Linked DNA regions of Elephas maximus indicus. The protein of the gene in region 2 purifies or fractionates together with the protein of the main gene of each other region. This does not show direct contact. Links are inferred from orthologs where the notes say so. Each region holds a gene or a part of one and is shown on either strand. Other genes may lie near its edges.

The links.
Region 1: the proteins of SRC (region 2) and CBLL1 purify together in Homo sapiens (affinity purification with western blotting; 3 studies listed by BioGRID and IntAct, with this or other methods). This does not show direct contact. The link is inferred for Elephas maximus indicus from reciprocal best matches to the Homo sapiens genes SRC and CBLL1.
Region 3: the proteins of SRC (region 2) and PECAM1 purify together in Homo sapiens (affinity purification with western blotting; 3 studies listed by BioGRID and IntAct, with this or other methods). This does not show direct contact. The link is inferred for Elephas maximus indicus from reciprocal best matches to the Homo sapiens genes SRC and PECAM1.

The regions. Positions count from the first base shown.
Region 1 is NC_064826.1:41,895,463-41,899,208, forward strand, and holds the start of CBLL1 (E3 ubiquitin-protein ligase Hakai), read right to left. Parts: upstream 2,777-3,746; 5' UTR 2,467-2,776; coding exon 2,454-2,466; intron 2,444-2,453; exon of another isoform or gene 1,784-2,443; intron 1-1,783. UniProt on the Homo sapiens protein: E3 ubiquitin-protein ligase that mediates ubiquitination of several tyrosine-phosphorylated Src substrates, including CDH1, CTTN and DOK1. Targets CDH1 for endocytosis and degradation.
Region 2 is NC_064843.1:32,209,991-32,213,736, forward strand, and holds the start of SRC (proto-oncogene tyrosine-protein kinase Src), read right to left. Parts: upstream 2,583-3,746; 5' UTR 2,208-2,582; intron 1-2,207. UniProt on the Homo sapiens protein: Non-receptor protein tyrosine kinase which is activated following engagement of many different classes of cellular receptors including immune response receptors, integrins and other adhesion receptors, receptor protein tyrosine kinases, G protein-coupled receptors as well as cytokine receptors.
Region 3 is NC_064837.1:55,646,941-55,650,686, reverse strand, and holds the start of PECAM1 (platelet endothelial cell adhesion molecule), read left to right. Parts: upstream 1-1,248; 5' UTR 1,249-1,292; coding exon 1,293-1,335; intron 1,336-3,746. UniProt on the Homo sapiens protein: Cell adhesion molecule which is required for leukocyte transendothelial migration (TEM) under most inflammatory conditions.

The DNA.
Region 1 (3,746 bases), on a different chromosome or scaffold from region 2:
GTTGTCTCCTAATATGAAACATCAAGAAAACTGACTCACAAAGAAATTATCTAAAAGAATAGATGCTAGTATTAAGCAGAAGAAATACCTGAGTAGCAACTAATTGTTTAAGTAATCAGCTCATTAGGGAAGATTTCCATGCTAGATGACTTACTATGCTCAGATACACACCCATTCATATTACAATTTTCTAATATAGCATCCTCTGAATTGTGGAAGGGACTGGATTCCCAATTCCAAAGGTTCAAATGAGTAATATTTTGCTGATATTCAATGCTTGCTACTCTAACACCCAGATCCTTGAATTTCAACTCAGTGAACTGTTCAAAGACTGGAGTTCCTTAGAGCCTGGTTGTGGAACCCTCTCTCTTCTATATTAGCTCTCCTTTAGTGATCACATCCATCCCCATGCCTTAAAATATAAGGTATTGAGTCTCAAATATGTATTTTCAGCCCGTATCTTTCCGCTGGTCTCCGATTGCCTATGTGACATCTCCCCTTGTATGTTTCAATACACATCTCAAATTTTAGCAGTATGAAACCAAACTCTTGTTCCTAAATTTCCATTCCCCACCTCTATCCCTAAAAAACGTCTACTTTTCTCTCATGTTTTCCCCAACTCAATAATGGACACTACCATCTACCCAGCTGCTCAAACCAGAAACCTAGGCATTTCTCCTTTTTCTCATATACCTCCAAACCAATCTATGAGCATGTCATTGAGTTCCATCACCAAAATACTTATCGACTAGACCTACTTCCATTCATCCTCGCTAAGCCAAGCCATCATCTCTTTTGGTCTACTGTAATCTCCTAAATCGTTTTTTTACTACCCTTGCCTCCCACTGTTAACTCTTTCTTCCTAGAACAGCCTATTACATTTTTTAACAAGATCAGATTCCTCCTCTACCTGTTCAATAGCTTCAGAAACCCATTGCTGTCGAGTCAATTCCAACTCATAGCGACCCTACGGAAAGAAAAGAACTGCCCCATGGAGTTTCGAATGAGCTCCTGATGGATTTGAACTGCCGACCTTTTGGTTAGCAGCCTTAGCTCTTAACCACTACACCACTAGGGTTTCCAATAGCTTCACAGTGCACTTAAAATTCAAATCTTTATCATTGCCTTTAAGGTCCTACACCATCTGACTTCCTCTCCAACTTCATCTTAAGGCTCTTTAAATTTACCTCTTGTTAAGTAGGCTTCAGCCAATTGGCCTTCTCTAAGTTTTCCTAATCTCAGAGCCTTTGTACTTACTTGATGGAAATACTCTTCATTCTGCTTACTTCATGGTTGGATTCTTCTCATCTATCAAATCTCAACTTAAATATTACCTTTCCAACAAAGACCTTCCCTGACCGTCCTCTCTAAAGTTTCCTCCCATTTATCTCTAACACAGTACCTGTTTACTTTCTTCAAAATACCTTCATAATCTGTAAATATTTTAAGTTTTTTTTAGAAAGTCTGTTTACTATTTCCCCCAATAGAATGTAATCAAGGTGATGGCAGGAACTCAGCCTTGTTTTAACATTCCAACCCGAGGCTTAGAAATAAACACACACACACAACACACACAAATATTTCATGATTGAGAACACACATCCCAATTAATACCTAGACCGGAAAATGTATTTTTCCCTACCTGTGACACGATTAACATAACTGCATGGAGCGCTTCCTAACTTCGAGTGCGCTTTATTTTAACATTCACGAACCAATGGAAACAAAAGCCAAAAAAAAAAAAAAAACCCCACACATAAAAAAGTAATGGAGCCAGTCTTACTTGGAGAAAGAGATGAGAACTCCTTGATTTTAAGCTTTCCTTAGGAAATGGTCCGAAATGACGAATAAGGACCACAGCCAAAGCGTGGGGCATGCTTTAGGTTTAGAGGTAGAAGCTGCTCCGAGTATGATTACGAAAACTATATCCGACTCCTTTCTCCAACTCTAGCCCACGAAGGACGAGAGAGACAATAACGACAGGAGCACCCGCCCAAAGCCGACTGAGACGGCAGGAAGTCTCCAACCTACTCTCGCCCAACCACTCCCAGCCGAAGCGGAGAGCGCAGAGAGGCTTCCTCCACTTAAAAATTGGAATCTATCCGCCAGTCCGCAAACGCAGCTCAGAGCACCCGGGATGAGGGGAAAAAAAAAAACCAGCGCTCTCCCCTCCCCCCGAGGCCCGCGCAGCCCGCCGTCCCGAGTCGGAGCCCAGCAGTGCCAGAGGAAAAGCGGCTTTTGCCGGTACTGAGGCTGTAGCTACTGCACCGGAGAGTAGGCCGGGAAGCAGCAGGCCCCGGCCGGGCACGGAGAGAGATCTGTGATATTTCTTTCTCACCACCACACCCCAGTGCTTTGGGGCGAACGTAAGCCCTCTATGCCCGCTAGGCGACTGATCCCAGACCGGCCAAGGGGGCATGGAACCGGGACCCCCACTGCCTCCGCCTCCTTACCAGTGTGATCCATGATTCGGCTCGCAGGGCACAGTGGGAGCGGAAGTCAACTGCACCGGAGTCGCATGGGGCGCGTGCGCGCTATCCCCGGAGTCCGGAAGGCGGAAGTGCAACCAGTCTCCTAGCTTTGGCTTCCAAGGGCTATCTTTTGTCGCCTCCCCAGCATAGTTTGGGCAGAAGGGAGAACGAGCGAGTACGCGAAGAGCTTCAGTGTCGAAGTTGCTAAGGCAGTTCCTCATAGGCCTCAAGAGAAAGTAGCCTTTAACTGTGGAAAGGAGACCCATGGCAACACGGGAGGGGGAGAGCGGTACTAGCCGAAAGAATTCACGGCAGGTAAGGCGGCCTCCCGCCCCCTCGGAGCGTTGCCTTCTGGGACTTGTAGTGCGCAGGACCCCGGAGTCAGCCAGGCCTATTGCGCAGGCTTGGCCGTTGGGCTGGCCCCACCCCGGCGGCGGAGTAACGGTTTAGAAGCCCCGAGGGTCTGGGAACGTCAGTCTCCACCGGTTCTAGGAAAAGCGTAAACATCGGCGCTCCGGAAAGCGTCCTCCCGTGGGAGGTTGCCAGGGGATGGTTGACCTGTTAGAATCCTCTAGCTAGACGAAAAGACTCTGCTTCTTATTGTCGAAATTTTGCTTTGTCGTGGTGAGCTACATAGCCCCAAGTAGAACAGACTTGGTGTATGCCTACGTTCCCACCTCTTAAGTTTCTACCAGTTGAAACATACTTACATCATGCTTTGCTACCACTCATTTTCTGGAGAAAATGCGTGTGGCTCTAGGTTCCCCTACAACCTCTCCGCAGGACTGGCGGACGCCGCGCAGCTACATCTTATTACATGGGACACCTAGCACTAATGTGCAAAGAAGGGGGCCGCAGGAAGGGTACATAGAAATGGAGTGAGGTGAAGAGATCGTTAGGGCCTGGTCGGAAGGGAAAGGTGAAAAAAGAAAGGCCTAAAATGAGGAAGAGAGTTACCACAGTAGGCAGTACCTAGTTCCAGTTCTTGGTCCCAGGGGTTTGTGGTTGCTGCTGCTTTCATCTCCACAGCCAAGAGAAAAGGAAAGTGCCAAAAGGTGATGCCGTAGGACCTTCAGCGCAGTCTCCACCTGGTGGACTTTGCTCATTTGTGTCCACTCCCTTCTCCAAAGCTTTACATTTGATGCTCTCCGATGAGTAGAAGGGAGCACAATTAGTGGAAAACACAAGCTTGGGAGTCAGGGGATTTGGGTTCTATTCTTGTCGTCCCTTGGTGACGACATCATTACCTTGTGTCATTCACGCTTTCAGTGCCAG
Region 2 (3,746 bases):
AGAAAACAGGGTCAACTCTTGTGAAAAGGTTAGACAAACAAGCATCCATGATACATGGTTCGGGACCAAGAGATGGGGGGTTTTCCCAGCAGCTACATGTGCTCACCCTGGGCAGAGCTCAGTGGGTCACTGAGCTATCCCCACCCTGACCCCTGGGGTTTGTGGGAGTCAGACCCTCTCCCCCTCAGGTCACAATCAGGGAACAAGCCAAAGAAGATTCTGGGTTGTGTGCTGGGGATAATGCCTACTCCAGGAGGAAGAGGAGAGAGCCAGGGGGCCTTGCTGGGAGAAGTGGGCCTTAAGCTAAGCGTTGAAGAGCCTGAGCAGATGAGCAGCTTATGGCACTCCTGGCAGGGACATCTTCAGGAGCAAAGGCCCAGGATTCACACAGGAGGACCTAGGCAAGCAGTCAGCTGAGAGAGGTGACACACTGTAAATCATTTCTCTGGGTGGAAAGACAGTATCACCAATGCAGGCCCAAAAGGGCCTCGTGGCTTCCAGTCAATCACTCATCAGTATAGTCTTCCAACACTGCTCTGTGCCTGGCCCCATGCTGGGCAACCTCCACTCTCCCATCACTGGAGGGGTGCCCGGCAGCCAGACTGGGTCTCTGAGGTCTGGGTTCTAATTCCAGCTTCAAGTCGTATGGCCTTGGCCAATTATTTCCCCTCTCTGAGTCTGTTTCCCCATCAGTAAACTGGAGAAAAAAAAGAGACTCTACCTCACAGGGGTGAGTGCTCACAGAGGGTACTCAGTTGCCATTATTATTGGCTCATTTTAAAGTTGACAAAACTGTGGCCAGAGGGAGCGTGAGTTGCTTAAGGTCACACAGCTGTTATGTGGCAGGACTGGGCTGGGGCTGTTTCTTTCTCAAGGGGGTTATGAGTAGGTTTTTCAGAAGATTCACCCTCTTCTGGGCACAAGGAGATGAGCCCCACTTGGGCCAGCAACCTTACCTCCCACCTTCATTTCTTAGGCAGTCGTTCTGTAAAGCACTCATTTATTGAGCACCAACTACGTGCCAAGCCCCTACAGGCAGAGGTGCATAGAATCTTCCCCTGAGCATCCCTATTCCTCATACTGTGACTCAGAGGGGCAATCCCTTGGCCCAGGTCACTTAGGGAGACAAGAAGCCCAGGTGTCCTGACTTCCCAATCAGTGCTCCCCCTAGGGGGCAAGAAGAGGGTCAGCAACAGGACCAGCGAGGCCCACCCTCAAGCCAGGTCTGGTCTCAGCTATATTGTTGCTAGACCTGGACTCATCCCAGGTGACCCAGGGACCACTGCCCCTATTGTATAGACAGAATCCCTGAGGCCCAGGAAGTCTTGCCCAGGGCCACACACACACTGTGCCCACTCTCAAGTCCCTGAACTGATACCCCACAGTTGAGTTCTGTTCACTCCAATCCATTCTCCCACCAGCCCAGCAATTCCACTCAGGCCCATCTGCCACTGATGAGGTCCCGGGCTCAGAATGGACAGGCAGTTGCTTGAGGATACACAGCAGGGCGAGTGGCAGCCCCAGCCTGGCCTCAAACCCACCCCCACCCAGGCAGGCAGGTGGACCCGCCAGGAGGTAGGCACCCAAAACTTTTGCCAACTTCCGAGCGGGCAGCGCTGGGGGCTGTGGGCAGCGGGGACCAAGCCCAGCCTGGCCCAGCCCCTTATTCCAGGCCGGCGACACCAGGCCCGACCTAAGGCCCCACGAGGACGAGGAGGTCCTGGCGCCCTGGGCCTAGCGCTCCCTCCTTGGCGCCCCCCAAACCCCCGTTCCAGGCCTTCTGCCCCCCCCCCCCACCCACACCCCACCGCGGGCCAGGGGCGCCAGGCCGGGTAGTCGCGGCCAGAGGCGGCGCCGACTGGCTCAGATTTCATATTTGGCCTAGACCTGGCCTGGGGACTCGGGCCGGCTCGCCTGCATCTCGGGGGGTTCGCGGGGGAAGGGCCAACGAGAGGGGTCCCCGCACGGCCAGGACTCCAGCGCCCCCGCCCAGCCCCCTCCCTCCGCGGCATCACAACAAAAGGCCGCGCTGGGCTTGTCCCGGTGCGCCCTCCGTGCGCTCCGGGATCGCGGCCCGGCCCGGGGCTGGGGGACAGGGGTGGGCAGGAGCCCCGGCGGCCCCGCGATCAGACGCCGGGGTGGTCCAGGCGGGGGCTTTCTCAGGCCGGCCGGGACTAGGGGCCCGCAGAGGGGCGGAGGGCTCTCACCTGAGGCAGCCGGCAGACGGTCGCACCGGCGGGCGGACGCACGGGAGGGCGGACCCCCGGGCCGCCGGACGGCAGGGGTATCGGGCAGACGGCGGCCTGGCCGCTCCGGCTCCCAGGCCGGAATGGATTCCGGGCCGGGAGAGACAGACCGAGAGAGAAAGGGAGGAGAAAGAGGAGGAGGAGGCGGCGGCGGCCCCGGGAGGGGAAGAGGAGGGAGGGAGCGCGCGAGTGGGGAGGAGGGGCCCGGCAGGCCGCCGGGAGGAGGAGGAAGGAGGAAGCGCGCGGGGATACACTCCCTGCCGGTGACCTGGGAGACACCCGTGCGCGGCCCAAGCCAGGGGTCCGGGCAGGGCAGGGGTGGCGTGGACGGGGAGCAGAGGCCCCGCCTCCCACGCTGCCCCGTGAAAGCGCCCCATCCCACGAGGCCCCCATCCCATCTGCTCCCAGGCCAAAATACCCTCCCTAACTCCCCCAAGCCACTCACCAACCCTGTTTACCCCAAATCTGCCTCTCCTGCAATTATTAATAATGATAATAACCTCGACCCTAATGGAGCGCTCACTCCTTACCAGGAGCCATACTAAGTGGCTGAGGTCGACTTTGGGATCTAATCCTGAAAACAACCTGGGCTGGGTGGTCCTGAGATTATCCCTGTTGCACAGATGAGGAAACTGAGGTGCTGAAAAGGCAAGGATCTCCTAACAAGAACCAGTCCTTGGTTCCCAGCCTTAACCCCAGTTTCCCAAAGTGGGAGCTGGGGCAGGTGGGGCAAGCCGGAAGAGCCACTTTTATTTTAATAGATACGTGTTCATTTTATTTATTTATTTTTCTTTTTTGGTTGCATTCTCCACAATGTGAGGGCATGCTCCCCCTTTCCACTCGGTTTTCCCTGTGTCTGCTCTTCCAGCTCCTGTCCCTTCCCACCTTCTTGTCCTGCTTTTGGGCAGGCGTTGCCCATTTGGTCTCCTATATTTGATTGAACTAAGAAGCATGTTCCTCACAGTGTGTTGTTTTTTAATTTATCTGCCTGTCTAATCTTTGTCTGAAAAGTGTGCTCGGGGAGCGGTTTGAGTTCTGAGTTAGTGGAGTGTCTGGGGCCATATTCTCGGGGGTTCCTCCAGTCTCTGTCAGACCAGCAAGTCTGGTCTTTTTTGGTGAATTTGAATTCTGTTTTATATTTTCCTCCGTGATCCCTGTCAAAGTGGTTGCTGGTGGTAGCCAGCCACCATCTAGTTCTTCTGGGCTCAGGCTGGTGGAGTCTGGTTCTTGTGGTCCTTTAATCCTTTGGGCTAGTATTTTCCTTGTATCTTTGGTTTTCTTCAGTCCCCTTTGTTCCACACAGGATGGGACCAATAGATGTATCTCAGATGGCCACTTGCAAGCTTTTAAGATCCCAGATGCTACTCACCAAAATGGGCTATAGAACATTTTCTTGATGAACTACGTTATGTCAATTGATCTAGATGTTCCCTGAGACTGTGGTCCCCAGCCCCCAGCCCCAGCAACTTGGTCCCTCAGAGTGTTTGGATGTGTCTAGGT
Region 3 (3,746 bases), on a different chromosome or scaffold from region 2:
GGAGTGGAGAGGGTACACCGAAGGAAAGGCTTTATTTCTTTTTAAGTACCAATATATTATTCTAGGTACTGTGTTAGATTTCTTGACAGGTTTATTAAATATAATTTACATACCATCAAATTTACCCACTATAAGTGTTTATTAGAATTGCAAGATAAAATACAGAACTCCCAGTTAAATTTGAATTTTAGATAAACAGCAAATATGTTTTTAGTATAAGACTGTCCTGTGTAATATTTGGAAACCCTGGTGGCATAGTGGTTAAGTGCTACAGCTCCTAACCAAGAGGTTGGCAGTTCAAATCCTCCAGGCCCTCCTTGGAAACTCTATGGGGCAGTTCTACTCAGCCCTATAGAGCCGCTATGAGTCAGAGTTGACTCGACGGCAGTGGGTTTGGCTTTTTGGGTTTATGCAATATTTGGGAGATACTTACCCTAAAAAAATTTCTTGTTTATGGGACTTTCAGAATTAACTGGATGTCCTGTATTTTCATTTGCTAAATTTGTGAAGCCGATTTTTGGTAAATATATAGAGCTGTGCAACTATCACCATAATCCAGTTTTAGAACATTTCCATCACCCCAAAAGTTCCCCCTTGCCCACTTACATTCACCTCCTCCCACAGTTCCAGGCAACCACTGGTCTGCTTTCTCCTCATAGATTTGGGGATGGCTATACTCTGGGTTGGTGGGTTTTAAACTTGGAAGGCGTACAGCCAGAATGCTGCTTAGAAATAAGGACGGCGAGACTTCTTCTCATGTGCTTTGGACATACTATCAGGAGGAACCAGTCCCTGGAGAAGAACATCATGCTTGATAAAGAGAGGAGGACCCTTAATAAGATGGAGTGACACAGTGGCTGCAAAAATGGGCTCAAACATAGCAACAATTGTGAGGATGGCACAGGACCAGGCACTGTTTTGTTCTGTTGTACATAGTGTTGCTATGAGTGGGAACCAACTTGGTAGTATTTAAACACAAAACCAAAAAAAAAACCAAACCCAGTGCCGTCAAGTCGATTGCAACTCATAGCGACCCTATAGGACAGAGTAGAACTGCCCCATAGAGCTTCCAAGGAGTGCCTGGCGGATTTGAACTGCTGACCCTTTGGTTAGCAGCGGTAGCATTTAACCACTACACCACCAGGGTTTCCATTTAAAATAACAACAACAAATATCTTGAAGTGGAACTACTTGGCTTGTACACAGCTAGCTTAGTTAAAAATCTAAGTATTTGCCTGATGAGTTTAGTTTCACTTCTTAAAGTGTAACGCACGGGAGACTGGCTGCCCAACATGGGGTTTGTCTTTTGCCATCAGAGCAGCCTCTGGCTTGCAGGTATGTGGATTATTTTCATCTCATTGTGTTTACAGATCACATGGGGAACCAGCCCTGGGGAGGCTGAGAGCCTTCCGGCCTTCACTGAGGGGGGCGCCCTTTCTAGGTCCCTGGGCCAGGGCAGGACAGGAGGTTAGATGGGAAGTCAGGCGACCATGTTACCGCAAATCCCAGGTTGGAGCTGCCTGCCGCAAAGATCTATCAAGATGCGGGGGTGCTCGGGCCTGTCCGGGGGCCATGGCACAGCGCTGCGGAGTATGTCTCTAGGGCTTCTTTTAGGTGGCCACCCAGCGCCAGCACCTCACCATAGCGCAGCAGCAGCTCCTCGGCGCTCTAGCCGGCCGCCGCTGTCGCCGCCCACTGTCCACCTCCGGGGGGCCATTTTTCGGCTCCCTCCCGGGGTGCTTCTCACCAGCGCTGGAGAAGAAGACGAGGCCCGCGGAGGGCTGCTGCTCTGTCACCCCCGCCCTGCTCTCGGAGCCTCCGGGGCGCGCTGCTGGGCAGGGGGCGCGCTGCTGGGCAGGCGGCCCGCCATAAGCCGGAACCCACCTTTTTGTTTTAAGAGAGGAGGAACTGTATATGGGGTATTTACAGTCACTTTTTGGCCCAGTGTGAATTTTTCGGCTTCCTGGAGTAAGTCGTAGGTTGCAGCCGCTGCCCACAAACATGGTCACCATCCCCTAGCCACGGTGAGAAGTATGTCAGGGGGCGCCCGGCCGAGCCCAAAGTCTGAGTCAGAACTCTCATAGCAATCTCTTTCGCATGTGCAAACAGTTCAAAAGACTTTTGTAAATCAGGCATTCTCAAAGCTGGTGCTGTCATCAACTTATATTTAATATTTTAAAGACTTGTTAGCATTCTTTTAGTGCATACTAAAGGTTCTCTTTCTTCCCCTTTCAGGGCCTCATAAAAAGTCTTTGCCAAGACTCTAAACCCGAGGATCCAGATTTGACAAAACCCAGCCATTCTTAGGAATCCTCTTAGCTGTGGCCTTTGGGCTGTCACCCTCATGATTGCCTCACTTCAATCTGGGAGAAGGTCTTGCTGTCCTTGAGAAATCTGGAATCTCAGATATTTAACTTGTGGGAGAGAAATCTGTGCCTTTTTCTCGGATAACCCAATACTCGCACTCTGCCAAGTGATTTAAAAATAATACAGCATTTTGGTTAGAGTCTTCTTTAGTTTCACTAAAACCAAAAAACCAAACCCAGTGCCGGGGAGTCGTTTCCAACTCATAGCGACCCTAGAGAACAGAGTAGAACCGCCCCATAGAGTTTCCAAGGAGCGTCTGGCGGATTCGAACTGCCGACCCTTTGGTTAGCAGCTGTAGCACTTAACCGCTATGCCACCAGGGTTTCCTTAGTTTCACTAGCCACCAAAATTTCGTGAACATATTATAAAATCAGACCTTGATTTGGTTTTAAAAATCTTAAATCCCTTGTCAAAATTTTTCTAAATATAGTGGGAGAATTTCTAAATCCCTGGATGAGAACTTGTCATGTAAGATGTTGTTTCACCCAGTAGCTGTATCAGTCCATTCAAAAGCAAATAATTGTTGAGACTGAGGATGTAAGGGGATGTGAAAGAATGTGTCTTTTAGATCTAGCACTGAAAACCATTTATATTGGCTGGGTATGGTGACAAGGAGGGTGTAGGGATTTGGGACTACTGGATGTACATCTTCTACTATTTGGTTAATTTTCCTCAGATCTTGTATAAATCGGTATTCTTTTGTTCTTGGTTCTATACTGTTCTTTTCTTCACATTCTCTGTCTCTCACTCATTCTCTTCTTCTCTAGCCCCCATATCATTTTCTCATCCATTTTTTTTGTTGTTTGGTCTCTATTATTGAAGACCTTCAAGGCAACTAGCGTCTGTCTTCGTGGTCGCCCTTCAGTGTTTACTCTGGCTGGAACTTTTCTCAAGGGATATTGCCCTGCCTGGTTTTCAGGGCCTCCCTTACGGAAAACTGTACCCTGTCAGGTACAAGAAGGGGAAACCACACCTGAAGCCGTGTTTCCACCGTCTGTCTCTTCCGTGTCTCTCCCTTTTGTTCCCCACGATGGACACGTATTAGAGTCTAGTCCCAACTCTGGCGGGAAGAGTGTATTCTCTTCCTCCAACTCTGTCCTCTCCCAGCAGCGGCAGTAAGGAGGAGGAGGAGCCATAGCCGAAACCAGAGCCCATCCCTCCAGGAAAGGGTCCTTGCTGGAAGAATCAGGATGCACTTTCGGCTCCATTTCACCTTGAAAAAGAACTTGGTTAGAGGGGTTTATATTCTGATATAGTGATATAAAAGCTTGAACATAGGAGACTTCAGCTCATTTTTTTGTCTTTTAAAATTGAGCTGAAAAACCATACCAAAAATCAAGGAACCATACTGTGGCCGATGTTCCTGACTTTTTTTAGCT